Saccharomyces cerevisiae S288C: one gene and its partners. The gene in region 1 interacts genetically with each later gene. Each region holds a gene or a part of one and is shown in the gene's direction. Other genes may lie near its edges. The genes, in order: PPT2, DUR3, GLO4 and FMC1.

Region 1 (5,439 bases):
ATTGCAGCACTAAATCACCATAAGAATAGTAGTGGAAATCCTAATAAGATTCAAGGTGTTTCTAAACACGAATTAAAGAAATTAATGGCTTTGGCTGGCAGAGTACACGGCGAATCGAAGATCAAGAATAGAGTTGCCAAAGACGGTCTAGTTAAAACAACGGCTGGCGACTTATGGGGTGAAGAATCCAATTCAAAGAAACAGAAGGTCAAATTACCTTCCGGTATCAAACTTGATGTGGAAAAAAAGGACCAGATACCTGAAGAACTATTGAAAAAATCCACGACAAGTTGGTCTACTGCTTCAGTCAGACCAAGTACTTTAGATATAGAGCCAATTGCAGTAAAAGAATTCACAGAAATTCCACATGCTGGTAAATCCTACAATCCCAACAATAAAGCTTGGTCAGAATTGATAAACAAAGAGTATAAAGAGGAAAAGGCAAGAGAAGATGAAAGAATCGCCTTGGAAAAGTACAAAGAAAGAATTAGACATTTAATGGAAACTTTAGATGACAATGAAGAGGAAGAGTCTTCATCAAACGAAGAAGAAGAAGAAGAAGAAGAAGAAAATGAAAATGAAAATGAAAGTACGCAATGTAGTGGATCTGATAAGGAAATAAAACTATCAATAAATAAGCCTGTGAAGAATAAAAAGAAAACAAAATATCAAAGAAACAAGGCAAAGAGACATGAAGAGAAAGTAAAATTGCAACAAGAGTTGAAAGAATTGAGACAACGTGTTAAAGATTTAGAAGAAGTTATCAATTCTGAAGAGACTGAGATACTTTCAGCCATAGAGTCAGATAGCAACAAGGTTAAAAAAAGCAAGAAAAATAAGAAACACAAGTTAGGGACGAAATACTCTGTGATTGATGAAAGATTGGAGATTAAATTTTCTGACGAATTATCTGACTCATTGAGAAAACTGAAACCTGAAGGAAATCTGCTATATGATACTGTGAGAAAACTACAAAGTTCTGGTAAGGTCGAAACAAGAGTGCCCGTTAGGAAAGGTAGAAAGTATAAGCAGAAAATCACTGAAAAGTGGACACATAAGGACTTCAAATAGAGTTTTTTGTTTTACAGTATATGTTTCCATGAAAAGGTTGTCCTTGATACGTGGATTCATCAAGTGAGATATATATATATATGTTCATATTTGTGTTGGCAAGACCAACAACTGTATAGTAGGTAACAAATTGTTTCATTTTCTTTTCGTTCTCTGCCCTTTTCTAGTTTGAGAGGGCATTCCCATGTCGATATCTCTAGATATCAGTTAAACATTCAAAAGTACAAATTCAGTTACGGAAATAATATATAAATTATATTCGCTAAATAAAATCTCTCCCTTTCTAGGGTGTTTTCAAATAATTTCAAGCTTTTCCCGTAGCTTCGTCCTCTCATCTTCCCAACCTTTTACTCTTTCTAGTTTTCTCTCCAATTCCTCAATCTCGTTGTCAATCGACGTGATTGCTTCATCGGTACCAACTGCCTGTAATTGCCATTTGCCATCTCGATTTTCACCGATCTCTAGTAACATTTCATGATATTTGATTAATGTGGGTCTTTGTGATATGGAAATGAAATTGAATCTGTATCGTTTTAAAAGATTGAACAGATAGTCTTCCATGTCAACACTAATTGCGTTTGTAGCCTCATCTAATACTACGTATAGTGGTTTATGAAACATGATTCTAGCAAAATTTACTCTTTGCTTTTCACCACCACTTAATAAGTCCTTCCAATCGGCAATGGCATCTAGGTAAGTTAAGCCAACGCCTCTTTTTAAAAGATAATCTAGTTTCACTTCGACTAATATCTGTACTAGCTCCTTATCTCTAAACCCCCTATCAAAGAATTCATCCGAGGACATGGGGTATATAATTTGGTCTCTTAAAGTTCCACCTCTACTAAAATATGGTTTCTGAGGAATAAAAAAAATATTATTTTCTGAAGGAATCGACAATAATCCATTTTTGTTATACACTGGCCATATTTCAGCTATAATGCGTTGAATTGAACTTTTACCGCAACCATTTGGCCCTAATATTAACAGGCTGGAGCCAGAACCCTGCAAAAATGGTAACTTTATATCATTTGCCTTCGATAAGTCTTGTATAGAATTGGACTTTGAAGTTATTGGGTCAATATGCAAAGGAATTTGAAATGTAAGCTTGTTAATCAGCTTTATGCCTTCGCTCGCCCTTACTGATGGAATGATTACGTCTATATTTTCTAACCGAATACCGTTAAAATTGCGTTGAATAGTACCACGAATAGCATCTTGCGAATTATCCGTGGTGGGTAATAAGTTGGAATTTCTGGAAGCGTCTTCTGTACGTATTGACAGGATTGAAGGAACAGCGCCGTAATTAAAGTTCAGAGAGTGAACCCTGTGTAAGACGGAAAGCAGAGTAAATATCCTATTAGTGTAGCCGGTCAATTGTGAGATGTCCTTTATCGAATGCATCAATCTCGAGCCTGCATCTGCAAGCGACAACATCAACCTTTTGTTGACTATAAATTCCTTCATATTTTTTTCCTCTGAATTGATGCCTGTCGCTAAGGTAGACATAACGATAGGGATTGAGGCAAAAACATAACCCAAACCGGACCATGTATATTTTAAAACATAGTCTTCCAACATATTGTAACCAAACTTGACTTTATCAACCAGCAGCATTTTTTCCATCAGCACATCATACAACTCTTTAACTTTCGTCCTTTCCACTGCTGTTCCTTGGTAAAATGCGATCTCTTCGCTATTATTTATCATGTTTAGATGATAATTGTAGTAATCGCCGTCTGAAGCAGATCTCTCGCCTGCCAATTTACCTAATGGTGGCGTGTATTTCCTCAAAATAAACCCAGTAATGAAATAATTAACAAATATACCTGCTACTCCCACAGTTCCCAAATTATCACGTAAATAAACCGAAAAGAATATTAAATCAATAACTGGCTTTGCAATGTTTGCAAAAACGGAGCATGTCGCATCGCAAAATTTTGCAACATCATTAGTAATGGAGTTGTCGATATTCTTGATTACCGAATTGGACGCCTTTGCATCAAAAATTAATTTGTAAAATGTTAGTCTTTTATCCAAATACATGTCATGGATGTAACGTGTCAAATTTACCCTAAAGTTTAAACTCAACTTCCTTTGAAGTAGCTTAATAGCACTATTAGTATAAGAAGCAGGGACAGCAATTAAAAACCAACACCCTAAGTCCCACAGAAAGCTTCTTCCTCTACCAGCAATTATATTTTTGACTATTTGTCCATCCAGCTTGGCTACAAACAAAGAGAGCCAAGTTCTCATCACCAGGAAAAAAATTTGAGCAGTTAAAAGAAGAAAGTTTTTGTCAAAAACTGTTGGAATTAAAATTTTAGACAAGACGTTCATTTGGTTTAAAAATTTTGAGTAGAATAACTGCGAATTCTTGGCTCTTTCCAGTTCTACATTTTTAAAAAGAAACTTATCGTGTTCATATACATCGTTATCCTTTGGTGGAATAAATATCCTTTTCCTTTTTTTTTTATCTGTAGCATTCATAAATTTGTTGTCATCGGGACTCTGGCGGTCGACTAATTCCACTTCAGGAATATACATTATTCTTGCACCACTGTCTAATTGCATTTGAGATCTTGTTCTTCTTATTAAAGGTCTCCTATTCCTTCTCTTCCATGGAAACTTGTAAAATTTATAACATTTTAGAATAATTTTGAAAGTACTATATGTTACACCAGAAAAAAGTGTGACACCAGATAGGAAAAGCGATACCAATAAAATCTGGGCCCTTCTTCTTAGCTTAGGATGAGCAGCGTTTGATCTAGATATCTGTAGAAGATGCCGTATCAATAACTTGAAATATACTTTAGGTGTGACATCGTTAACGTGTAGCCCAATACAGTGAGTATGTAGATTCAGGAGCAAACTCTTTAGTTTCGCTGGTGCTGCTAATGTTGTTGACATTTCTGTGTTATGCGTTCTAAGACTTCCAGATTGTCTGAAACGGGTTTCATTGTTAGTCTCACTTCTTAGAGAAGCATTCTTATATATCTTGACTCTAAAAGGGCTGAAAATAACCGCCGAAATTAAAAATTGGGGTAAAAAAGGGTAACGAAACTTATGCGGTTAAGCCCGATCAACATATAGCTGAATATTGCGTCAAGAATAATTTCTTAATCGGGATTATTTCCGAAGGAAGAAATTCTATTGAAAAAAAAATCTTAACATCAAAACTGCTTATATACATTCCACAGGTTCAAGCGGTCATAAGAGATCTGACTTTTGATAGAAAAGCTAGTTCTTTAAGAAGGCTGAATAGAAGCTAAGCACTATTTTCTTATCAGGAGTATTGCTTTCTAATGAACGTTTATTTCATAAGTGCTAGCTTTGAATGCCTCCAGTGATGAGTTTTGCATCGAGGAATATTGGACGTAAGATAGCAGGAGTGGGAGTTGACATTGTATACTTGCCAAGATTTGCACATATACTAGAGAAATATTCCCCATTCGACCCATGTGGCCGTTCTACCTTGAATAAAATAACACGGAAGTTCATGCATGAAAAGGAAAGATTTCATTTCAGTAATCTTCTCATCGAAGAAAACTGCTTAACTCCACGATTGCATGAATATATAGCGGGAGTTTGGGCTTTGAAGGAATGCTCATTGAAAGCGTTGTGTTGCTGTGTTTCAAAGCATGATCTACCTCCTGCCCAAGTACTGTACGCTGGAATGCTATATAAAACACAAACCGATACAGGTGTACCTCAGTTAGAGTTTGATAAGATGTTTGGAAAAAAGTATCCAAAGTATCAACAGCTCTCGAAAAACTACGATTCTCTCTTTTCCACTCATGAGTTTTTAGTTTCGCTATCCCATGATAAAGATTATTTAATTGCAGTAACAAACTTGGTAGAAAGAGAGTAAAAGTTTTCTTGCAGCCGTATAAATGTGGCCCTATTTTCAACGTCCAAGTTATTTTCTGCGATATTTGAATGACACTTTTAAATGCGTATATAACAGCTCTTAGAGCTCAGAGGAAGCTTTATCGCCGCCTTTTATAGGAACAAGAGTTATGTACAAAAAGCCATCAAAACTTCGCAATTTAGAATACAAATCATACAGGAGCATATGCCAAGGAATTTCAATTCCTTGACAAATAACCATGACATCATTACCATTGATTCCTTCCTTTACGTCCAGAATATCGCCTTCAATATCCTTCAACGTAGGATTGACTCCAGTCATACTGATAGTTGGTTGTGATATTCGAAAAGTTCCTGATGTCCTTGAGGTTTGAATGATGAGCGGTATATGTCGCGGTCTTGATGAACTTATCTTGTTAGATATTTCAATGAAATCTTGGAAATTTCTCGTAATAACACTGCCCCAAAATTTTCGAGCTTCGTTGACCGATAAAGACATAA
Region 2 (9,914 bases), on another chromosome or scaffold:
TAAAATCTGAAAAGTTGGCAGCCCTGGCCCTGTCAAAGAAAGTATTATTATGCGTCGCGAAATTTCTTTTTCTTCACGCCTTGTTTTTAGTTTGGGCATCTCGAAAGCATCTAATACAAAATCCAACTAAAGCACAGCATTCAATCTAGTAGAGAGAACAAGAGATATTCATCATGACCGGCATGGAATCAGGAGAGAATTTGGAAAACATGGAAGATATTTTGGCGAGACATCGCAAGGAAAATAAAGATTTACAGAATAAGATAACGGGTATGAAAAAGCAGGCTACTAAATCCAAAAGGAAAGAAGTTAATTCGAAATGCCTAGATCTTCAAGATAAACTAAAGACTAAGCAAGAAAATGAAATAAGGGATTGGAAAATTGCAAATAATGAAGTGTTTGACGCAGAACAAGAAGATGAAGTGACTCCTGAAAAACTTTTAGAACAACTATCCATATCTCGAGATGAGAAAGAACAACAGAATGTTCCCGTTCAACAACAGCAACAAGGCCAGACAAAGAAGCGTCGCAATAGACAAAAGGAAAGATTGGCCAAAAGAGATGCAGCAATTGCTAAAATGAAAGAAGAGGCTGCTTTAGAAGCATCCAAACAACCGGACTTGAAAAAAATGGAGCAGGAGTCTATAGATCAGTTATGCGAGTTGAAGAAACTGAAACAATTCGATATACAACCCGATGGCCACTGTCTCTTTGCATCTATATTAGATCAGTTAAAATTACGCCATGATCCAAAAAAACTGGATCAAGACATGGATGTCATGAAGCTGAGATGGTTGAGTTGTAATTACGTACAGGAGCACAGGGATGATTTCATTCCATATTTGTTTGATGAAGAAACTATGAAGATGAAAGACATTGATGAGTATACGAAAGAGATGGAGCATACAGCTCAATGGGGTGGTGAAATTGAGATTTTGGCTCTCTCTCACGTTTTCGACTGCCCCATTAGCATTCTGATGAGTGGAAGACCTATTCAAGTGTACAATGAATGTGGGAAAAATCCTGAATTGAAGCTAGTTTACTATAAACACAGCTATGCATTAGGTGAGCATTATAATTCATTGCATGATTCTTGATTTTTCCCATCCGTATCTAATGAGATATGCTTATTTGTAAACCTTAATGCATCTATTTAATTGTATAGTTTGAAGCATATGGATATAAAAGAATAAAGAGAAGTAATAATCGGATATGAACATTGGTGGAGGAAAATTTTTACTTGGGAGGATATCGAATAATCCAACTTCAGGGATAGTAGGGCTTGCTAATGTTGGTAAATCGACTTTTTTCCAAGCAATAACAAACTCAAAATTGGGAAATCCTGCAAATTATCCATTCGCTACCATTGACGCAGAATGTGCCAAAGTCAATATACCTAGCGTGCCGCTCTCTAATTTATTGAGAATATATCAGAGTGCGAAATGCGTACCTGGAACACTCACAATATATGATATTGCTGGGCTCACCAGAGGCGCATCTCAAGGCCATGGTTTGGGTAACAAGTTCTTAAACGATATCAGACACGTAGAGGGGATATTTCAAGTGGTGAGAGGATTCTTAAAGGAAGACATCACCCATATAGAAGGTAATGTTGATCCTGTCAGAGATCTATCCGTGGTACAAGATGAACTCATCTTGAAAGACTTAGAATTTCTGGAAAACATTAGGGAAAGACTTAGTAAGAAGATGAGAATGGTTTCGAAGAATTCTAAAGAACATCAGGAAATGAAGATAGAGACAGAATTATTAGATGCATTAGAGGAACATTTGTTTAACGGTAAAAAAATCCGGCATTTCAAAGATCATTGGAACCTGGATGAAGTCAAAATTTTGAATAAGCATAACTTTTTAACCTCCAAACCAACTTTGATATTGCTAAATGTTTCACCTCAAGATTACGTTAGGAATGAAAATAAATTTGTCAGAAATATTATAGAATGGATTAACGAATTTTCGCCAGGAGATAAATTCCTACTTTTCAGTGCAGAATTTGAATCGCAATTGATGGAATGTAAAGGCATAGCGTCAGAGTATTTTGACAAGATCAAGGAAGATACCAATGTTTCTGATCAACAGTTAGTTTCTGCGATACCGCAAATAATACTAGAAATGAGAAAGTTGTTGAACTTAATTAGCTTCTTTACATGCGGCCCACAAGAAGTTCACCAATGGAATATAAGGGAGGGAACCACCGCTCAAGAGGCCGCGGGTGTAATCCATAGCGACTTGCGTGAAACATTTATCAGCGCTGATGTAATAAAATATGACGATCTGAAGAAGATGGAACCACCGCTAAATGAGTCTTTACTAAAATCTAAGGGACTTATCAAACGTGCAGGCAAACAATATATTATGCAGGACAATGACATTGCCTTATTCAAAGCCGCCGGTGGGAAAATTAAGAAATAGTTTGTCATAAAAAATACTTGTAAATATGAATAGAAACGCTTGCTTTGTTTTGTCTTTTCCAATAATTACACAAGAATCAACAAAAGTATGAGATATATATATATATATATATATATATATTATATTTGCATAAGGTTTAACCACTGATAGTAAGACAGAGGTATATCGAGGAACTGTGTTTACCTAGAGTGGGCTGATTCTAATAGTGCAGCTATATGCGAAAATGAGAAAAAAGGAACCGCTGAATTCAATAATATATTTTGGTTAATGGACGAGAAAAAGAGGAATCTAATGGAAATTATTTCCAGTTAGAACCAGCTTAGTTGGAAGCAACAACAACTTCGACATCCACACCAGGTTCAATGGTGATTTGAGTGATTCTCTTAACGATTTGAACAGGAGCTTCCAAGTCGATGTATCTCTTGTGGATTCTCATTTCGTAGGTTTCCCAAGTCTTAGAACCTTCACCATTTGGAGTCTTTCTGGTGGAGATCTTCAAAACCTTGGTTGGTAGTCTGACTGGACCCTTCTTGACCAAGTTGTGTTGTTCAGCGTTCTTGACAATGTTGGAAGAGACGTTTTCCAATTGCTTAACCTTGGTGGAGGTCAAAGTGATTCTAATCTTGATGATTTGTTGTTGTTGTTGTTCTTGTTCTTCAACCTTTTCCTTTTGAAAGTCAGACATTTTGTATATACCTTTTTGTTTATTTTACTTGCTTTCTTGTAGGAGTTTCAATCTAAAGCTGAGCTTGAATGAAATAACCCATCTTTACTATTATTTTGAATTCAATACGGTCTATTACTCAATCTCTGAGGCTAGTCGCGAATGCGTCGAAGTTTTTTTTTCAAAATTAAAACATTATCGTTACCCGAACTTTATCTTCATAAAAATAGTTGTGGCATTTTTTCTCTTATGTTTACGGATGTAGAAAATGTACAGGTGTGAACTTGCAGGTAAACATTTTTACATTTTTACTTTTATCTTTTCCCCTTCTATAGAGATAAAAATAAGAAGTTTCAGGGAAATCTCTCTTTCCATAGTAAATAGTGTTAGCAGCAGACAAGACAAGAAGGATATCAATGACGATACGCATTTTTCCGAATGATCTGGTCAGATAATTCTTTTTTTCCCTTTATCGGGAGGTTTTGATGAGAAAACGATGTCAATAGTATTCTAGTCACAATAGGGAGCTAGACGGCTATTCAATCAGAATGCGACTATCCGGAGTTATCCTCAATGATAGACGTTTCTCCAGTTAGGAGCGCCAAGAATGTGTGAACAAAATGCACAAGGTGCAGATTTGGCGCTCTTTATCAGCGCTTCATACGGTAGATATGAACTTTAATTTTGAGATTAGCCAAGACCAAAGGTTCTCTTAAAGATGCAAAAGCAGTCATACAGGTATTTGTTTTATGCAGCAAGGCTGACTCAAACTAGGCATTCCAATTCTGTTTATCTATTGGTGCCGCACCTTTTTTCCGATGATGAAATGAGGCGGCGCACATTTGGGTGTTATCTTATCGGGATATTTTATGATAGCAAATGCGACAGACAATAATGCTCGAGAGTGGACAGGCCAATAGTCAGTTGCAGCATAGAAACAAGCAGGCGTACCTATGGGAAAGGTGTAACTCATCATTGCGCTTTCTACGGTACGGTTATCCTTAGATAACAGGCAAGATGTGCTCTATTCATCGGTGTTGCATGAAGATACGTCTTGTTCGCCAAGTATATAAAATGAAGCAGTAGTATAGCCGTAGCTTTACTATTGTTAGCAGTTTCCCTTGTCTAGATTCTTAAATTGGGTTCATCCAAGAAAAAGTAATAACATAAATTTGTCATTGTTATAGTATGGGAGAATTTAAACCTCCGCTACCTCAAGGCGCTGGGTACGCTATTGTATTGGGCCTAGGGGCCGTATTTGCAGGAATGATGGTTTTGACCACTTATTTACTGAAACGTTATCAAAAGGAAATCATCACAGCAGAAGAATTCACCACCGCCGGTAGATCTGTAAAAACCGGCTTAGTGGCTGCAGCCGTGGTTTCTAGTTGGATCTGGTGTTCTACATTGTTAACGTCGTCAACAAAGGAATATGCAGACGGTATATTTGGCGGTTATGCGTACGCTGCTGGCGCATGCTTCCAAATTATTGCATTCGCAATTTTGGCAATTAAAACCAAGCAAATGGCTCCCAATGCGCACACATATTTAGAATTAGTGAGAACAAGATATGGTAAGATCGGCCATGGTTGCTACTTGTTTTATGCCATCGCGACGAATATTTTAGTCACTTCAATGCTTTTAACTTCAGGTTCTGCTGTCTTTAGTGATTTAACCGGGATGAACACTATCGCATCATGTTTTTTACTGCCTGTGGGTGTTGTTGTTTATACTCTATTTGGTGGGATTAAAGCAACTTTCTTAACGGACTATATGCACACATGTGTCATTATCATCATTGTCCTCGTATTTGCCTTTAAAGTTTATGCGACTAGTGATGTTTTAGGCTCACCGGGAAAAGTTTATGACTTAGTTCGTGAAGCCGCCAAGAGGCATCCAGTAGACGGTAACTATCAGGGTGAATATATGACCATGACATCCAAATCCGCTGGTATTTTATTAATTATTAACCTGATTGGAAATTTCGGCACCGTTTTCCTTGATAATGGTTATTGGAATAAAGCGATTTCTGCTAGTCCCGCAGCGAGTTTGAAAGCATATGCCATCGGTGGGTTAGCATGGTTTGCAGTACCTTCTTTGATTTCATTGACCATGGGATTAGCATGTCTTGCGGTGGAAACGTCTCCGAACTTCCCCACCTATCCTGATCCACTTACTTCGTTCCAGGCAAATTCTGGGTTAGTCTTGCCGGCAGCTGCAATTGCTATCATGGGTAAGGGGGGTGCTGTGGCATCGCTGCTAATGATTTTCATGGCCGTCACATCTGCTATGTCTGCTGAACTAATTGCCGTTTCATCTGTTTTCACTTACGATATCTATAGAGAATATATTGATCCTCGTGCAAGCGGTAAGAAATTGATTTACACATCACACGTTGCTTGTATCTTTTTTGGTCTTGCCATGAGTGGATTTTCGGTTGGTTTATACTATGGTGGTATTTCTATGGGTTATATCTATGAAATGATGGGTATAATTATTAGTAGTGCAGTATTACCTGTCGTTTTGACCTTATGTTCCAAAGACATGAATTTGGTGGCCGCTGTAGTGTCGCCTATTTTGGGCACAGGACTGGCTATAATGTCATGGCTTGTCTGTACCAAATCCCTTTATAAAGAATTGACCGTGGATACTACGTTCATGGATTATCCAATGTTAACAGGTAACTTGGTGGCTTTGCTATCACCAGCCATTTTTATTCCTATTTTAACGTATGTGTTTAAGCCACAAAATTTTGACTGGGAGAAAATGAAAGATATTACTAGAGTTGACGAAACTGCAGAGTTAGTTCAGGCTGACCCTGATATCCAGCTTTACGATGCTGAAGCTAACGATAAGGAACAAGAAGAAGAAACAAATTCTCTGGTCTCAGATAGTGAAAAAAACGATGTTAGAGTAAATAATGAAAAATTGATTGAGCCTAACCTTGGTGTTGTAATAAGTAATGCCATTTTTCAAGAAGATGACACACAGTTACAAAATGAATTAGACGAAGAACAAAGAGAACTAGCACGTGGTTTAAAAATTGCATACTTCCTATGTGTTTTTTTCGCTTTGGCATTTTTGGTAGTTTGGCCCATGCCCATGTATGGTTCCAAATATATCTTCAGTAAAAAATTCTTTACCGGTTGGGTTGTTGTGATGATCATCTGGCTTTTTTTCAGTGCGTTTGCCGTTTGTATTTATCCACTCTGGGAAGGTAGGCATGGTATATATACCACTTTGCGAGGCCTTTACTGGGATCTATCTGGTCAAACTTATAAATTAAGGGAATGGCAAAATTCGAACCCACAAGATCTGCATGTAGTAACAAGCCAAATTAGTGCGAGAGCACATAGACAATCATCACATTTCGGACAAGTTGATGAAATAATTTAGCTTTCAAAATATAATATTCTATCCACTCATCAACCTCATTAATAATTTTTAAATAGCTCTAATTATAAAATAGTCTTTCATTATAGGTACATAAAAGAAAAGAAAGTCAAGGGGAAAAAAAAAAAAAAAAGGAAATTTCTAAATTTATGTTATTTGGTCCGTTTATGTAGTACTTCTATCATTTTTTGCATCTCTGTCGTAATCTACGTCGAACAATACGTCATTATTTGCGTTCGTATTTGCATTTACACTTGGCACTTCTTCAAAATCGGATGCTAAATCAATATCCATATTGTGATCGTGTTCCTGGTAGTCATTACGTGGCTCTCTATTAGGCAATGCCTCATCAGACAAGGAATTTATGTCATCTAAATCGAATTCTGATACATTTTCCATGTCAGTTGGTAATTGATGCGAGCACGCTAGTAAATATGATGTACTTGTAGGTCTCCAGAAGAATGCGAAAATGACGAAGACCAAGAAGTAAACGAAACTAGGCCAAGTATCTGTGATGAGGAATTCTGTTTTCCAATATTGTTCTATCATGTCAACAGTGTCCATACCGACGTATGCAAAAGTAGAGACTAGTAAGCCTAAGAAGAGTATAAACAACGAAATATAACACAATATGATCAGTTTTCTGTACATGTTTAATTTCACCACTTGGTTTTGTTCCCTCAAATAAGTCATTGTTTTGTTCATTGAAGACAGTGTCAAATAATAGAAAGCGAATAGACATAATACTAAGGGGATAGCAGTAATCAAAATCAAATTGGATAAAGACTCAGAATTCTGGGAATATTTTTGGACCAGGAATGCAACGCACACTGCAAACGTAAATATCGCAAATATTTGACATCTTCTTAGCAATGTACGGTCCAGTTTTGGATATACTATACCATATCCAAGAGATATCAGCAAGGCGAGGAGAAGCGTGAAAGTCATCTTACCGGCGCTAAAGATCGATATGAAAACCATATAGACATGAAGAGCGACGCTGGAGTTTCCCTTCTGGTTCTCAATAATATAGTACATCCAGACGAAAATAGTATCAGCTGTTAGGAAAATACAAAATACCAAAATGTACCTTTGTAAAGGCAGTAACTCATGTCTATGCTTCCAGCATAGCCAAGAGTACACTAATGTACAGACGGCATAAGCGACGGCCAAAAAGGCATAAATAGGCATCTTGTACGCCTCTGAAGCGTCCAATTGACCGTAAGCGTTCCTAAAATTCACTGTAGCCTTAAACTTGGAACTGGAAGAAATGAAAGATGACGTGGTCACACAATAGTAACCAGTTTTGTTAATTGAGTATACCTTGTCGTTAGTGCCCAATTCTTGTTGAGTGAAAGTCAAAATCTGACTCGTTAGCTTATGTTCCTTACTGGTGAACGGATCGATGGCTGTCTCTTGAATGATAAATTGCCCCTCCGACGAATCCTCACAGAGGCCCAAATCCAATGCGTAGTCATCGCAAATATACTGAATTTCTCCATTTGGTAACCGCACACCAATATGCTCATAATCTTGGAAATCAAACACAGCAACACTAACCCCCTCGCCATCATCGTCTTCATCAGCAAGTGACAATTCCTCCAACGTAAACGATATATAGGGGTCAACTTTTCCATTGAAATCCTCCTTGGAATACATCCCTGAACAGACATCGTGATATTTTTGATTTATGCTTTCTTGGTTCCCTTGAACTACCCCACAGAGTAGCAACAGCCACGTCAGTAATAGCCACGTTCTATCCATTTTTCTGTTCGCTAGTTATTGTGTCTAGTTTGCCCAAAAATGATTTACACAATACAGTTGAAATTTCAATACCTTTTTTTTCAATTTTCAGTTTTTCCATGTTGCAATGCGAGAATGGGTATGGGTAGCAAAAATTTCTAGTAGTAAAATCGATAGGAAAAAAAAAATGGAAAGAGCAATAGCCTTTTAGACCTGCCCTGCCTTATCAAGTTGTCATCTCATCGATGTAGGAATCTATTCTCTTGGCCATCCGGACGTCTATATCGCTAAGCTGGCTGTGAGCCCCGTCTTTCGGGTCTATGTCATGCGTATGAAGTTCCAGCTTGACCCAGGTGTAACTTGTGTGAATCAGGGGATGGTGGCCCCATAGATGAGATCTCATCGATACACGAGTCAAAAAGGCCCATGTGGTTTCGTAGTCCTTGAATGTTACCTCTCTTGTTATTCCCAAACATTTGGTCTTATTAGGGTCCCATTGAACTTCCCAACGGGTCAAGGGTTTTAGCTTCTCGAGTAGTTTGCCCCCTGTGAGTGCACTGGACGCGATTCTAACAATCTTGTTGTGCATTGTATTCTTACTTTGGTTTCTTTCTGCTTTTGGTAGGTTGTGTTTACTGTTTTATAACTGGAAGGGCTTAAATTCCAGATTGGAAAATTGAGAATGCCTTGGACAAAAAGCAAATAAAGGGACCCAAAAATAGTAAAGAGGAAATCAGGAAGGAAAGGCATGTCGTCAAGCCTTTTTATCCTGGATGAAAATCTGGAGCCATTGGTATCGAAGAATATTAGAGCACTACCGAATCTATCGTCGGTTCTTTCAAGTTTCAAACAATGTTATCATGACGGGTCGCCTCCAATTCTCTCCCAAAACGATTGGTTCTTTATACATTTGAAGAGAGACTTTCTGCATTTCGTTTCAGTGATACATACCACAGACAAACCAAATATAGACTTAATGACTATACTAGCCTTTTTGGAACAATTTTATCATCTTTTACAAAAATATTTTGAAATCGAGGTCTTAACTAAGAATGTCATACTGGACAACATCTTACTTGTCCTGGAGTTGATTGATGAATGTATAGACTTTGGTATCGTACAAGTGACGGATCCAAGTATCATCAAGGACTACATTCGTGTGAAGGTCAACGTACCAAGAGTTACAGTAGACAATGAGGAGTGGAGCCCTGGTGAAGAGAGCAGTAGTAGTAGCGGTAGCGATAGCGATAGCGAGTACAGCAATACTAATAAGAGGAAGGATAAGAAGAAGAAAAGGAAGAAGAAAAAGGGCACTAAAGGGAAAAGCGTGGGCAAAAGTAAATTAAAAAGTATAATGGTAAACAATAAAGAAAATAGGGGCATAAACGTGGTGGAAACTGTCAAGGAGACACTAAGGAACAAGAATGATACCGGTAAAGAAGCCGCTAATGACGAGCTCCCCAATGACGGTAATGATTTATACATCAATGGCGATATTGCGAAGACGATTATAATGCCCATATCATGGAGAACAAAGGGGATACATTACGCCAAAAACGAGTTCTTTCTTGATGTTATTGAACGTGTTCAGTACTTGATGGATTTTGAAAAAGGAGTGATTAGGAAAAATCTGATACATGGAGAGATTGTGTGCAGATGCTATTTATCAGGGATGCCCAAACTG
Region 3 (3,043 bases), on another chromosome or scaffold:
ATAATCTCATTGTTCCGGATTGTGTAGGAACTCCTTTGCTGCGTGGCGTATTCCTCTGTATGGACGATTTAGCACTTTTTGTATATTGTTTTATGAAGACTTCATAATTCTAGCCGAATTAACTGATATTTTTTTCGCGCTTTTTTTTGTCGACCTTCCAGGAAGAAAAAATATGAAAGCGAATAAATGGAGGTGTATTGGCAATCCTTTATCAAATGAAAACAAGCACCAAATAGAATAAGTAAATCACATTCTTAAAGAAGTTGGTCATTCCAGATACGTGGAATTTTCCTGCTGTATTTTTTCATCAATCTTTTACTTGAGAAATACTAGCTTTTTTCAAATTATTCAAGATTAAGGGACTTAGAGAACTGATAGAAAAGCAGATCATGGGCAGTAGATCGGAGAATGTGGGAACAGTGACTAGAGAAGGCTCCAGAGTGGAACAAGATGATGTCCTCATGGATGATGACTCTGACTCATCGGAATACGTGGATATGTGGATCGATTTATTTCTTGGGAGAAAAGGCCATGAATATTTCTGTGATGTCGATCCTGAGTACATCACTGATCGTTTTAATCTGATGAACTTGCAAAAGACAGTTTCAAAATTTTCCTACGTGGTACAATATATTGTGGATGATTTGGATGATAGTATCCTAGAGAATATGACACATGCCCGTTTAGAACAATTAGAATCAGATTCCCGGAAGCTGTATGGTCTCATCCATGCACGCTACATTATAACTATCAAAGGATTGCAAAAAATGTACGCTAAGTACAAAGAGGCGGACTTTGGAAGATGTCCCCGTGTGTATTGTAATTTACAACAGTTGTTACCGGTTGGTTTGCATGACATTCCTGGTATAGATTGTGTCAAGTTATATTGTCCATCTTGTGAGGATCTTTATATACCAAAATCATCGAGACATAGTTCCATTGATGGTGCATACTTTGGAACAAGTTTTCCAGGTATGTTTTTGCAAGCATTTCCAGATATGGTACCCAAACACCCAACTAAAAGATATGTTCCAAAAATATTTGGATTTGAATTACATAAACAAGCTCAACTGACAAGGTGGCAAGAACTACAACGACTCAAGTTAGTTGAGAAACTTGAATCCAAAGATGTTGATTTGACGAAAAGTGGTGGTTTTAAAACCTAACTATTAAAGAAAGAAGAAAAAATTCGAAATGAAATCCTAGGCGAAATTGAAAACGAAAATGAAAATAATGGAGAAACTTCGTCATAAAATTGTGAAAATCAGGTATCATTTGTTCTCCTAGCATTTTCTTTCCTAGAATATTACTATTTTCTACCTCCATTCGTATTTTACTTTTCCTATTTAATATTAAATTTTTATATACCGTTATTGCCCCTTACGGCAATAATACAACCAGATAAAAGAGCGTGCTCCGAAGTTAGCCTGTTATATATCAACAATTTGCAAATGTGGTTACCCACGAATTATTGGTGTTATTTTAGTGAATAGCTTGAAATCTTTGAATGTAGGAAGCATCCTTATTTATCAAGAAATTGGAGAAGTGGCGGCATCGCGTGGAGACTGCCTATGAACTAAGAGGCGGTTTATATTTTAAAAACTCAAAAGCTGTTTGAAGACTAATCTGGAAGTACTGAAAAGAGGAGATTTACTCATTCTTTGGTGCAGCAAATTTCTTTCGGCATGAAGTTTTTACTGCAGCAAATAAGAAATATGCATGTTAAGCCTATAAAAATGCGATGGTTGACAGGTGGTGTCAATTATAGTTATTTACTAAGCACTGAAGACAGGAGAAACTCATGGCTGATTGACCCTGCAGAACCACTTGAGGTGTCGCCAAAATTAAGCGCCGAAGAGAAAAAAAGTATTGATGCTATTGTCAATACACATCACCATTATGACCATTCGGGGGGGAACCTAGCGCTTTATAGTATCTTGTGCCAAGAAAACTCAGGTCACGATATTAAAATAATTGGTGGATCTAAGTCCTCCCCGGGTGTCACTGAAGTACCCGATAATTTGCAGCAGTATCACTTGGGTAACTTAAGAGTAACATGTATTAGGACTCCATGCCATACAAAAGATTCCATATGCTATTATATCAAAGATTTAGAAACAGGTGAGCAGTGCATCTTCACAGGCGACACTTTATTCATTGCCGGTTGTGGGAGGTTTTTCGAGGGCACAGGAAGAGATATGGACATGGCCTTAAACCAGATAATGTTAAGGGCTGTTGGTGAGACGAACTGGAATAAGGTTAAAATATACCCTGGTCATGAGTACACCAAAGGCAATGTTAGCTTTATCAGAGCAAAAATCTATTCCGATATAGGGCAGAACAAGGAGTTTGATGCGTTGGAACAGTATTGCAAATCTAACGAGTGCACCACCGGTCACTTCACCCTGAGAGATGAACTAGGTTATAACCCATTCATGAGATTGGATGATCGTGCCGTTAGACTAGCAGTCGGCGATACTGCTGGGACTTATCCCAGATCCGTAGTGATGCAAGAGTTAAGAAAGCTTAAAAACGCTATGTAACTGGCATGCAGTCTAAATATTTGCAAAGTATGTCTGAAGGACTAATGATAGGTGGGTCAGGATATCAGCTTAATCCTCACCCATGAAGAAGAAGATATGTCAAAAGCCATATTCAGTAATTGGTCTATTTGTCTCCGTTGTCCACGCTTTCATAGCCATAGAGGAAAAGGCGTAGAAAGTTCTATATAACAGAGTATTTAGTATTATATTCCCGAGGTTTTAGGAAAGAAAGAAGAAGAAAGAGAAGGAGGAAAATGGGAAGAAACTTAAGATTGAAAGTGTGAGAAAAATGAATGGCCCTCTCTTTATATAGTGTTCAAAAAATTGAACAGCGATTTATTGTCATCACAGACGTTGAGTCTCTCTCTTTTCCTATTAAAATTAATCTTAGCAAGTAAGGGCTTGGAGGGAAGATAGCGTTGAGCTGTGAAGTCGATCAAATAAACAGCTTGAGACTAGTTAAGTAGCCACCCCCAGCAAAACGATATTGCCAAATCAAA
Region 4 (7,545 bases), on another chromosome or scaffold:
AAAAAAAATGGACTAACTCTGAGCAGATCGAGCAAATTCCAATGGGAAAATTTTCCAGGATATCATCACCGGAGAACGAATAGCGAACAAGATACTACAAAACCTGCGAAAGAACGTGATGCTAGGTTCTACATCTTTAGTAAATATGTCTCGAATAGTTCAAAACATAACCGTAAAAGCAAAAAAGACACAGATTCTGATTCAGACTAAGTACAGAAGGAAGAATGTCGCCATGTTGATGAAAGAACTTTCATTTTCCCTAATTCTTATATAGCGTAAGTATCTGTAAAATAGTTGTGAAAGTTGGACAAATCTTTATATAAAAAAATGCATATAGCTTGAAACTATTTCAGGTTGGGTACATTTTGATAGAATCTGATTCGCAAAATATTTTCATGTCAACTGGATCCATAATTTGACCTGGATTTAAAGAAATTAAGTTTTGCTTTTTCAATGTTTTGGCCAATTTCTTCAATTTTTTACTGTCGTAAACATTTCCATTTGGTAATAGTATTGGATTTTCAAATAATTGAGACTGAATGTGATGAGCAAATGGTAATGCCTGTGTTATTGGTTTGAAAGTCTCACTGCAAACGGGACAATTTTTCCTTTTTAGTGAATGTAGCGTAAAGAGTTGTAAATCTTCAACTTCTTTCTCTGCTGTTGTGGCAGTTTCCGTCTCTTGATTTCCATTTTCATCGTCAGAAGGGTGCAGGCAATCTCTTGTCTTCAAAGACGATATACCTAGTGACAGGTATATCAATAAAGGGTCATTTTGTGATATGCCATACATGGAATAAAAGTCGCTCAAGAATAAATCATTTAATACCGACCATCTTTGATCATCTAATAAATTCAGATATCTTTCGAAATCTCCACTTTGTAAATTTATTAAGGAACTCTTGTCATAGTCTGTTGTATTCACCGCAGGTTTGGAGGTAATTCTAGGTAAAGATTTGTGAAAAAAATGTTGAAATATTCGATCTTTCTTCATTGGTAAACTTTGAGACTTAATCTCTTCAGTATCGAATCCAGAGCTGGTAGAAGAAGTTGGCTTTTGATCATTACAGTATTTGATAAAAATCAGAAGTCCAGATGCTAATTTTAAATCGGTGAAGTTGCTCTTAACGAATGGTAAAAGGAATCTTTGAAAACATACTATAGCGTCGGTATAGTTATCCACCTTTAGTAGTTCAATATATTCTTGCAATCTTGCTTGAAACTCTAATATAGAGGACTTTTTGGTCAGTGTCTTTTTGTTCTCGTTTATCCATGAAATTAGGGGTAAGAGATTACGCTCATGTAGTAACGAAGTCGAAATTCTATTAGCCTCCAAGAGGACATCATAATCAATGAGATCATCCAGTTGGCTCTGTTTCAAAAACACTACGCCAGAGTTCCAATGATCCTTTGTCTCCGAGTTGTATTTAATCGGGTTATTCCTCGTCAGATAATCACCAATTAAAATGTTTGTATAACTCTGATACCACTGTATCAATTTAGTCCTGGTACCCTCATTATTTCCATTGTGCGATGTTCCTGAATTTTGTGACTTGATGTCCTTCAGTTCGTGGAAAAACTCCAGCCTTTTTTTAATTCTGTTCAAAATCTGACAGTAGGACTTGATTTGCGTATTTAAAAATCTTTCTATATGGTCAACTTTCCTAATCATTTCAGTTATTTTTGCTAGTGCCAACTCGTCGTGCTCAACGTCATTATGTTCAAATATTTGATTTAATGCGGCCGTGTGTTCATGTAGTGATTTGGTTTCCTTATTAATTACCGCTTGAGTATGCTTGATACGTTTGGACAGTAGTTCATAAGGAATATGAAATAATTGTTGATTTAATTTCAAATGGAAATCCACATCAGGCTCATTAAATATTGATTTCTCTGCCATGGCTTACCTACTTTCCTATAATTTATAATCATTTTCTCTGTTTTATGTATGAAATTGTAGATTTAACCACCCCCTTCTCTTCGCCTTTGCAAAAAGTGAATATCTCAAATTGCACTAGAGTTTCATTTGCAGCGATAAGTGGATAACAAAAAGCTGAAAAGAGAGAGAAAGAGAGAGTGCCAGGGAAATGGATAGACCAAGAACATTACGCACATATAGAGGACTCATAAGAGCCATTCTGAAATATGAAAGGCCAAGCAAGATAGTCAATTGGGGCAATCTACGAAAGGCAATGATAACAAAGTTGGAATATGCTAAGAAACAAAATCAGAGAGACTCGCATGAGAACATCAACAGACAGTTAGAGAAATGGAAAAAACTAGATCCGGTAAGCGACAGATCTTTGAATTTGTTTATAGCCGACTCTAAGTCATTACGTTCCATATTACAAAACGATATAAAGTGGGAGAAAAAGGTGGCCCAGGGACAAAACGTTGACGAGATATTCGAACACGCTTTGGACATCATCAAGTTCTTGGACAACCAAAGAGAATACGAGGAGCTGGTCGACAGATACAATCCTGGCAACAAGTTGACACAGGATGAGAAAGTGAAAAGAACTGCAAACGTGGTTGGGCTGGACGTTCCGACATAGTATCTAATCAATTTATAATATCAGAGTTTTGTAAATAAGTATATATATATATTTGATGTAAATATCTAGGAAATACACTTGTGTATACTTCTCGCTTTCCTTTTATTTTTTTTTTTGTCTACAAACTCTGTAAAACTTCTTGTCTTATTTGATAGGCATCCCAGAATGAAGTATAGGACCAGGTAAGGTGTTGGGCACCCTGCATAAACCCTGTGTATTTGTTAAATTGTTCACTTAGTTCCCCGTCTGTTCCCACGTGAGCTTTCAGCTTGACCAAGAATGAATCAGCTAGTTGGAAGATTTTTTGTATGGTTTGATTGAAGGCAGGTGTATTGAACTCCAAAATCAAATAGCCTTCGTCATTTCCCAAAGTCGTGAGGTTGGAGAATACCAGCTCGCTCCAAAATGCGTTCGAACAATCGTTGTTCATTGGGACAACCAAGTCATGCTGCTCAGAGATGTGTCTGTAAATGAGCTGATAAAGCGTTGTTGAAGCGGTACACGTGGCCAGGACCCAGGGATTTCCCTCGCCAAAGCCATATCCATCATATACGTCCTCAGGATACCGGCCCAGGGCAATACCCGTTGCATTTTTGGAGCTATCGTTGATGGGGTATATCGAACGCATGTGCAACATCAAATGGTGCAACGTGTTCAGGACGGCAGGGTCATTGATATCGAACGGAAGATGGGAAGCAGATGGCGCATCGTGGACGGTGTTCGCAGCTAATAAAGTGGATATGTCCAGTCCGGATCTCAATGTGTCGGCAATCATGGGTGTCCCAACAATATAATTGTACTTGCCGTTGATAAACCCATTCGCAGGGTCCACTAAAAACTTGGAGATGTCCCGGCGTGTCTGACGCAATTCTTCAACAAAGGGAGACGACCGTTCTGAGGCGTTAAAATACGACAGCGACTTGTCCACTGCAGACAGTTGTACCAGTAAAGTAAAGAAATGCATGCCATTGACTTCCTCCCATAGATCAAATCCGGAAGAATTCCAGTGGTCAATAATGAACCTCAGGTCCCAACGTACAATATCATCAAAGATATCTGCGGTGGACTGGAATGGGTACTTGGCCCCCAGATCAGTGCCAGATTGCTTGATGTAGTCGATGATTTTTAAGATGGCAATGCTTCGAAGAGCAGGCCCATCGTTTTGAGGACGACCCCAATCTTCCGTGAAAGCCGTGTTGTCGACGTTCCACTTAGGGTCTCCCAAAGCCACTGTATCGTTAGTGTAACCAATGCCAGCGCCCAATGTGTTGTTGCTTCTTTGCAAGTGGAATGAAACGTTCAGGTACTGCAATAACGTCTCTATTGCCGGGCCCGCAGAATGAGAGACAATACTGTTTATCGTCAACGCGCTGTCCCTTATCCATTGGTAGAAGTAGTCTGGATGCGTTTGCGATGGTGACGCAATCACGACCCCAGGCGAAATAGACGGATACACGGCGCTGGGCCCAATATTTTCAAATATTTTTTCGATGGAAACTTTTTTCTGTCCCTGGAGCCATTCCTCCAGCGCACTACTGTCCCAAGCGCCGTTTGAATCGTATACCACTGTCCCATTCATCAAGACTGCATCCCGCAGCTGCACTTGCGAAGGGCCGTTGTTTGAAAATACACCGCCGTAGCTTTGATCGAGAATGCCCTTGCCAAAGTCAAATTCGTATATAGTAATGTTCTCGAGCGCCCAAGCAAACCCGAATCCTACGCTGAGCATGCCGAGTAATTTGTTATAAAACATCTTTTGTCTTGCCATTTTGCTGCTGTTACTTATTTGAAATCTTGCTCTAGTCCACGATTATCACTATATTGTAAATGTACGATTTCTTGTGTAACAGAACAGATAACGGATCCAGAGCCAAGAGATGAGAAAAAATACGAAATGCGCAGGAGGAAACAGGGAACCAAAAAAGGACCCTTGCTTCTGTGCCTGAGTCCCCTAATTTGTGACTCCACACATGCAGGCAAGTTAAAAGCACCTTGTACGAGTGCTATGAATGGGTGTTACTCTGGCCCGATTTCCCTGACTTTCCTTATTCACCCTCACCCCTAATACCCGTTTCCGCGGATAATGTTCTATGCTTCGAAGCGCCCCCCTTGCGCTGGGCCTCGAACCGCATCCATTGAACAACAGCTTGGCCTTCCCTGTATTCTACCACATCCATTGCTATTGCCCCTCTCCCCTTCTCCTCTCTCTTCTTCTCCACTATACTGTGCTTTTCAGCCCATTCGGCGCGCGAAATCACAAGCTGTATATATACATTTACATATACATATATATATATATATATATGTGCATAAATGTATGTACATATATGAATGCCGGGCCGCGTGGCGTCTGTAGCTTGTGCGTGTACGTGTGTACACACTTCAACATATATATACATACATATATATATCTATTATTCGTGTACTAGTGTTTTAACTTGCTCGTTCTCGGTACGCATCCAGTTCTTCTCCCCACACAACGGCAAGCTCAAAATACCTTATCATAGACACCTTCTCCAACATGAAATATCCCGCTTTTAGCATTAACAGTGACACGGTACACTTAACGGACAACCCCCTGGACGACTATCAGCGTCTCTACCTCGTCAGCGTACTGGATAGGGACTCGCCGCCGGCCAGTTTCAGCGCCGGACTCAATATTAGAAAGGTTAACTATAAATCCTCCATTGCTGCGCAGTTCACACATCCAAACTTCATTATCAGTGCTCGGGACGCAGGGAACGGGGAAGAGGCGGCGGCGCAGAACGTTCTGAACTGCTTCGAGTACCAGTTTCCCAACCTACAAACAATTCAGAGCCTAGTCCACGAACAAACGTTGCTATCGCAGCTCGCTAGCTCCGCCACTCCTCACTCCGCCTTGCATCTGCACGATAAAAATATTCTGATGGGTAAGATCATACTACCTTCCCGGTCTAACAAAACACCAGTCTCAGCATCACCCACCAAGCAAGAAAAGAAGGCTCTGTCAACAGCATCGCGTGAAAATGCCACCTCCTCGCTGACAAAGAATCAGCAGTTCAAGTTGACCAAAATGGACCATAATCTGATCAATGACAAGCTCATCAACCCTAACAACTGCGTAATATGGTCGCATGACTCCGGCTATGTGTTCATGACGGGCATCTGGCGGCTGTATCAGGATGTTATGAAGGGGCTTATAAACTTGCCCAGAGGTGACAGCGTTTCCACTAGCCAACAGCAGTTCTTTTGCAAGGCTGAATTCGAGAAAATTCTATCTTTTTGCTTTTACAATCACAGTTCGTTCACTTCTGAGGAATCTTCAAGCGTACTGTTGTCGTCCTCCACCTCTTCGCCGCCAAAGAGACGGACATCCACAGGGTCTACCTTCTTGGACGCCAATGCGTCTTCTTCATCTACTTCTTCAACGCAGGCAAACAATTACATCGATTTTCATTGGAACAACATCAAGCCCGAACTGCGGGACCTTATTTGCCAGTCTTACAAAGACTTCCTGATCAATGAACTTGGTCCTGACCAAATAGACTTGCCCAACTTAAATCCGGCAAATTTTACGAAAAGAATAAGAGGTGGTTACATCAAAATTCAGGGTACTTGGTTGCCGATGGAAATCTCAAGGTTGCTATGCCTGCGGTTTTGTTTTCCGATCAGATACTTTCTGGTGCCTATTTTTGGTCCAGATTTCCCCAAAGATTGCGAATCGTGGTATTTGGCTCATCAAAACGTTACATTTGCTAGTTCTACCACTGGTGCAGGTGCTGCTACTGCTGCTACTGCTGCTGCTAATACAAGTACCAATTTTACGTCTACTGCAGTGGCAAGACCTAGGCAGAAGCCCAGACCCAGGCCAAGACAAAGATCTACTTCCATGTCCCATTCCAAAGCGCAGAAACTTGTTATTGAGGACGCCTTGCCCTCATTCGACTCATTTGTAGAAAACTTGGGCCTTTCCTCAAATGACAAGAACTTCATTAAAAAAAACAGCAAAAGGCAAAAGTCGTCCACATACACCTCTCAAACTTCTTCTCCAATAGGGCCAAGAGATCCAACGGTGCAAATTTTGTCAAACCTAGCATCCTTCTACAACACCCACGGTCACCGGTATTCATATCCGGGAAATATCTATATACCACAGCAAAGATACTCTTTACCCCCACCAAACCAGCTCTCGTCGCCACAGCGGCAGCTAAACTATACTTACGACCACATTCACCCAGTTCCTTCTCAGTACCAGTCTCCAAGACACTACAACGTCCCCTCTTCACCAATCGCGCCTGCTCCTCCCACTTTCCCTCAACCTTATGGTGATGATCACTATCATTTTTTGAAATATGCTAGCGAAGTTTATAAGCAACAAAACCAACGACCAGCTCATAATACAAATACCAATATGGACACCTCTTTTTCGCCAAGGGCGAACAATTCACTGAACAATTTCAAATTTAAAACAAACTCAAAACAATAAAAATGTCATCTGTTACATTTTTGGTAATATTCTTTTATAATGGTTCTTTAATTTTTTTACATAATTTACATATTATTTCAAAGTTTTTCAAAAATATCCGTACTATATGTTTTTCCAGACAAAACATAAAACATACAATGATCTTTTTGAAGAGAGAATTAGTACACTCATTACAAGGTGTATGACGTGCCGAAGAAAAAAATTGCTTCCAATCGGATTTGAACCGATGATCTCCACATTACTAGTGTGGCGCCTTACCAACTTGGCCATAGAAGCTCGTACTTGTTGGTTCAGTACTCTTCATCAAGCTATACTATTTATCTAGGATGACGGTCACAGTGATTCGTACTCGACTGCTTCTATAATCTGTAGGTGGCTTGCGCATATCCTGAATTATCGTAATTAAAGAACCAAGTTAGATGCTAAAGGTGGAAAAGTTCAAAAAATTGAAGCGATTCGAGGTCTATTATTGTTTAAAAAATTCTTTTCTGGAAGAAGTAGATATCGAGATGAAATATTCCTGCA

Evidence for each region.
Region 2: mutations in PPT2 (region 1) and DUR3 together harm fitness more than expected from each alone (negative genetic interaction), as found in Saccharomyces cerevisiae (3 studies listed by BioGRID).
Region 3: mutations in PPT2 (region 1) and GLO4 together harm fitness more than expected from each alone (negative genetic interaction), as found in Saccharomyces cerevisiae (2 studies listed by BioGRID).
Region 4: mutations in PPT2 (region 1) and FMC1 together harm fitness more than expected from each alone (negative genetic interaction), as found in Saccharomyces cerevisiae (2 studies listed by BioGRID).

What each region holds. Positions count from the first base shown.
Region 1 is NC_001148.4:271,794-277,232, reverse strand, and holds PPT2 (holo-[acyl-carrier-protein] synthase), read left to right. Parts: upstream 1-4,417; coding exon 4,418-4,939; downstream 4,940-5,439. Other genes in the region: NOP53 (Nop53p), read left to right, coding at 1-1,071; ATP-binding cassette long-chain fatty acid transporter PXA1, read right to left, coding at 1,366-3,978; ATG5 (Atg5p), read right to left, coding at 5,039-5,439. UniProt on the Saccharomyces cerevisiae protein: Transfers the 4'-phosphopantetheine moiety from coenzyme A to a Ser of mitochondrial acyl-carrier-protein.
Region 2 is NC_001140.6:68,613-78,526, reverse strand, and holds DUR3 (Dur3p), read left to right. Parts: upstream 1-4,282; coding exon 4,283-6,490; downstream 6,491-9,914. Other genes in the region: deubiquitinase OTU2, read left to right, coding at 174-1,097; YLF2 (Ylf2p), read left to right, coding at 1,213-2,430; 40S ribosomal protein uS10 RPS20, read right to left, coding at 2,750-3,115; YHL015W-A (uncharacterized protein), read right to left, coding at 3,745-3,828; YHL017W (uncharacterized protein), read right to left, coding at 6,653-8,251; MCO14 (4a-hydroxytetrahydrobiopterin dehydratase), read right to left, coding at 8,457-8,819; APM2 (Apm2p), read left to right, coding at 8,979-9,914. UniProt on the Saccharomyces cerevisiae protein: Required for active transport of urea.
Region 3 is NC_001147.6:405,379-408,421, forward strand, and holds GLO4 (hydroxyacylglutathione hydrolase GLO4), read left to right. Parts: upstream 1-1,685; coding exon 1,686-2,543; downstream 2,544-3,043. Other genes in the region: HIR2 (Hir2p), read right to left, coding at 1-10; casein kinase 2 regulatory subunit CKB2, read left to right, coding at 390-1,166. UniProt on the Saccharomyces cerevisiae protein: Thiolesterase that catalyzes the hydrolysis of S-D-lactoylglutathione to form glutathione and D-lactic acid.
Region 4 is NC_001141.2:174,782-182,326, reverse strand, and holds FMC1 (Fmc1p), read left to right. Parts: upstream 1-2,087; coding exon 2,088-2,555; downstream 2,556-7,545. Other genes in the region: BMT5 (25S rRNA (uracil2634-N3)-methyltransferase), read left to right, coding at 1-210; glucose-induced degradation complex subunit FYV10, read right to left, coding at 350-1,900; SGA1 (glucan 1,4-alpha-glucosidase), read right to left, coding at 2,674-4,323; XBP1 (Xbp1p), read left to right, coding at 5,077-7,020; YIL102C (uncharacterized protein), read left to right, coding at 7,440-7,545. UniProt on the Saccharomyces cerevisiae protein: Needed for the assembly of the mitochondrial F1-F0 complex at high temperature.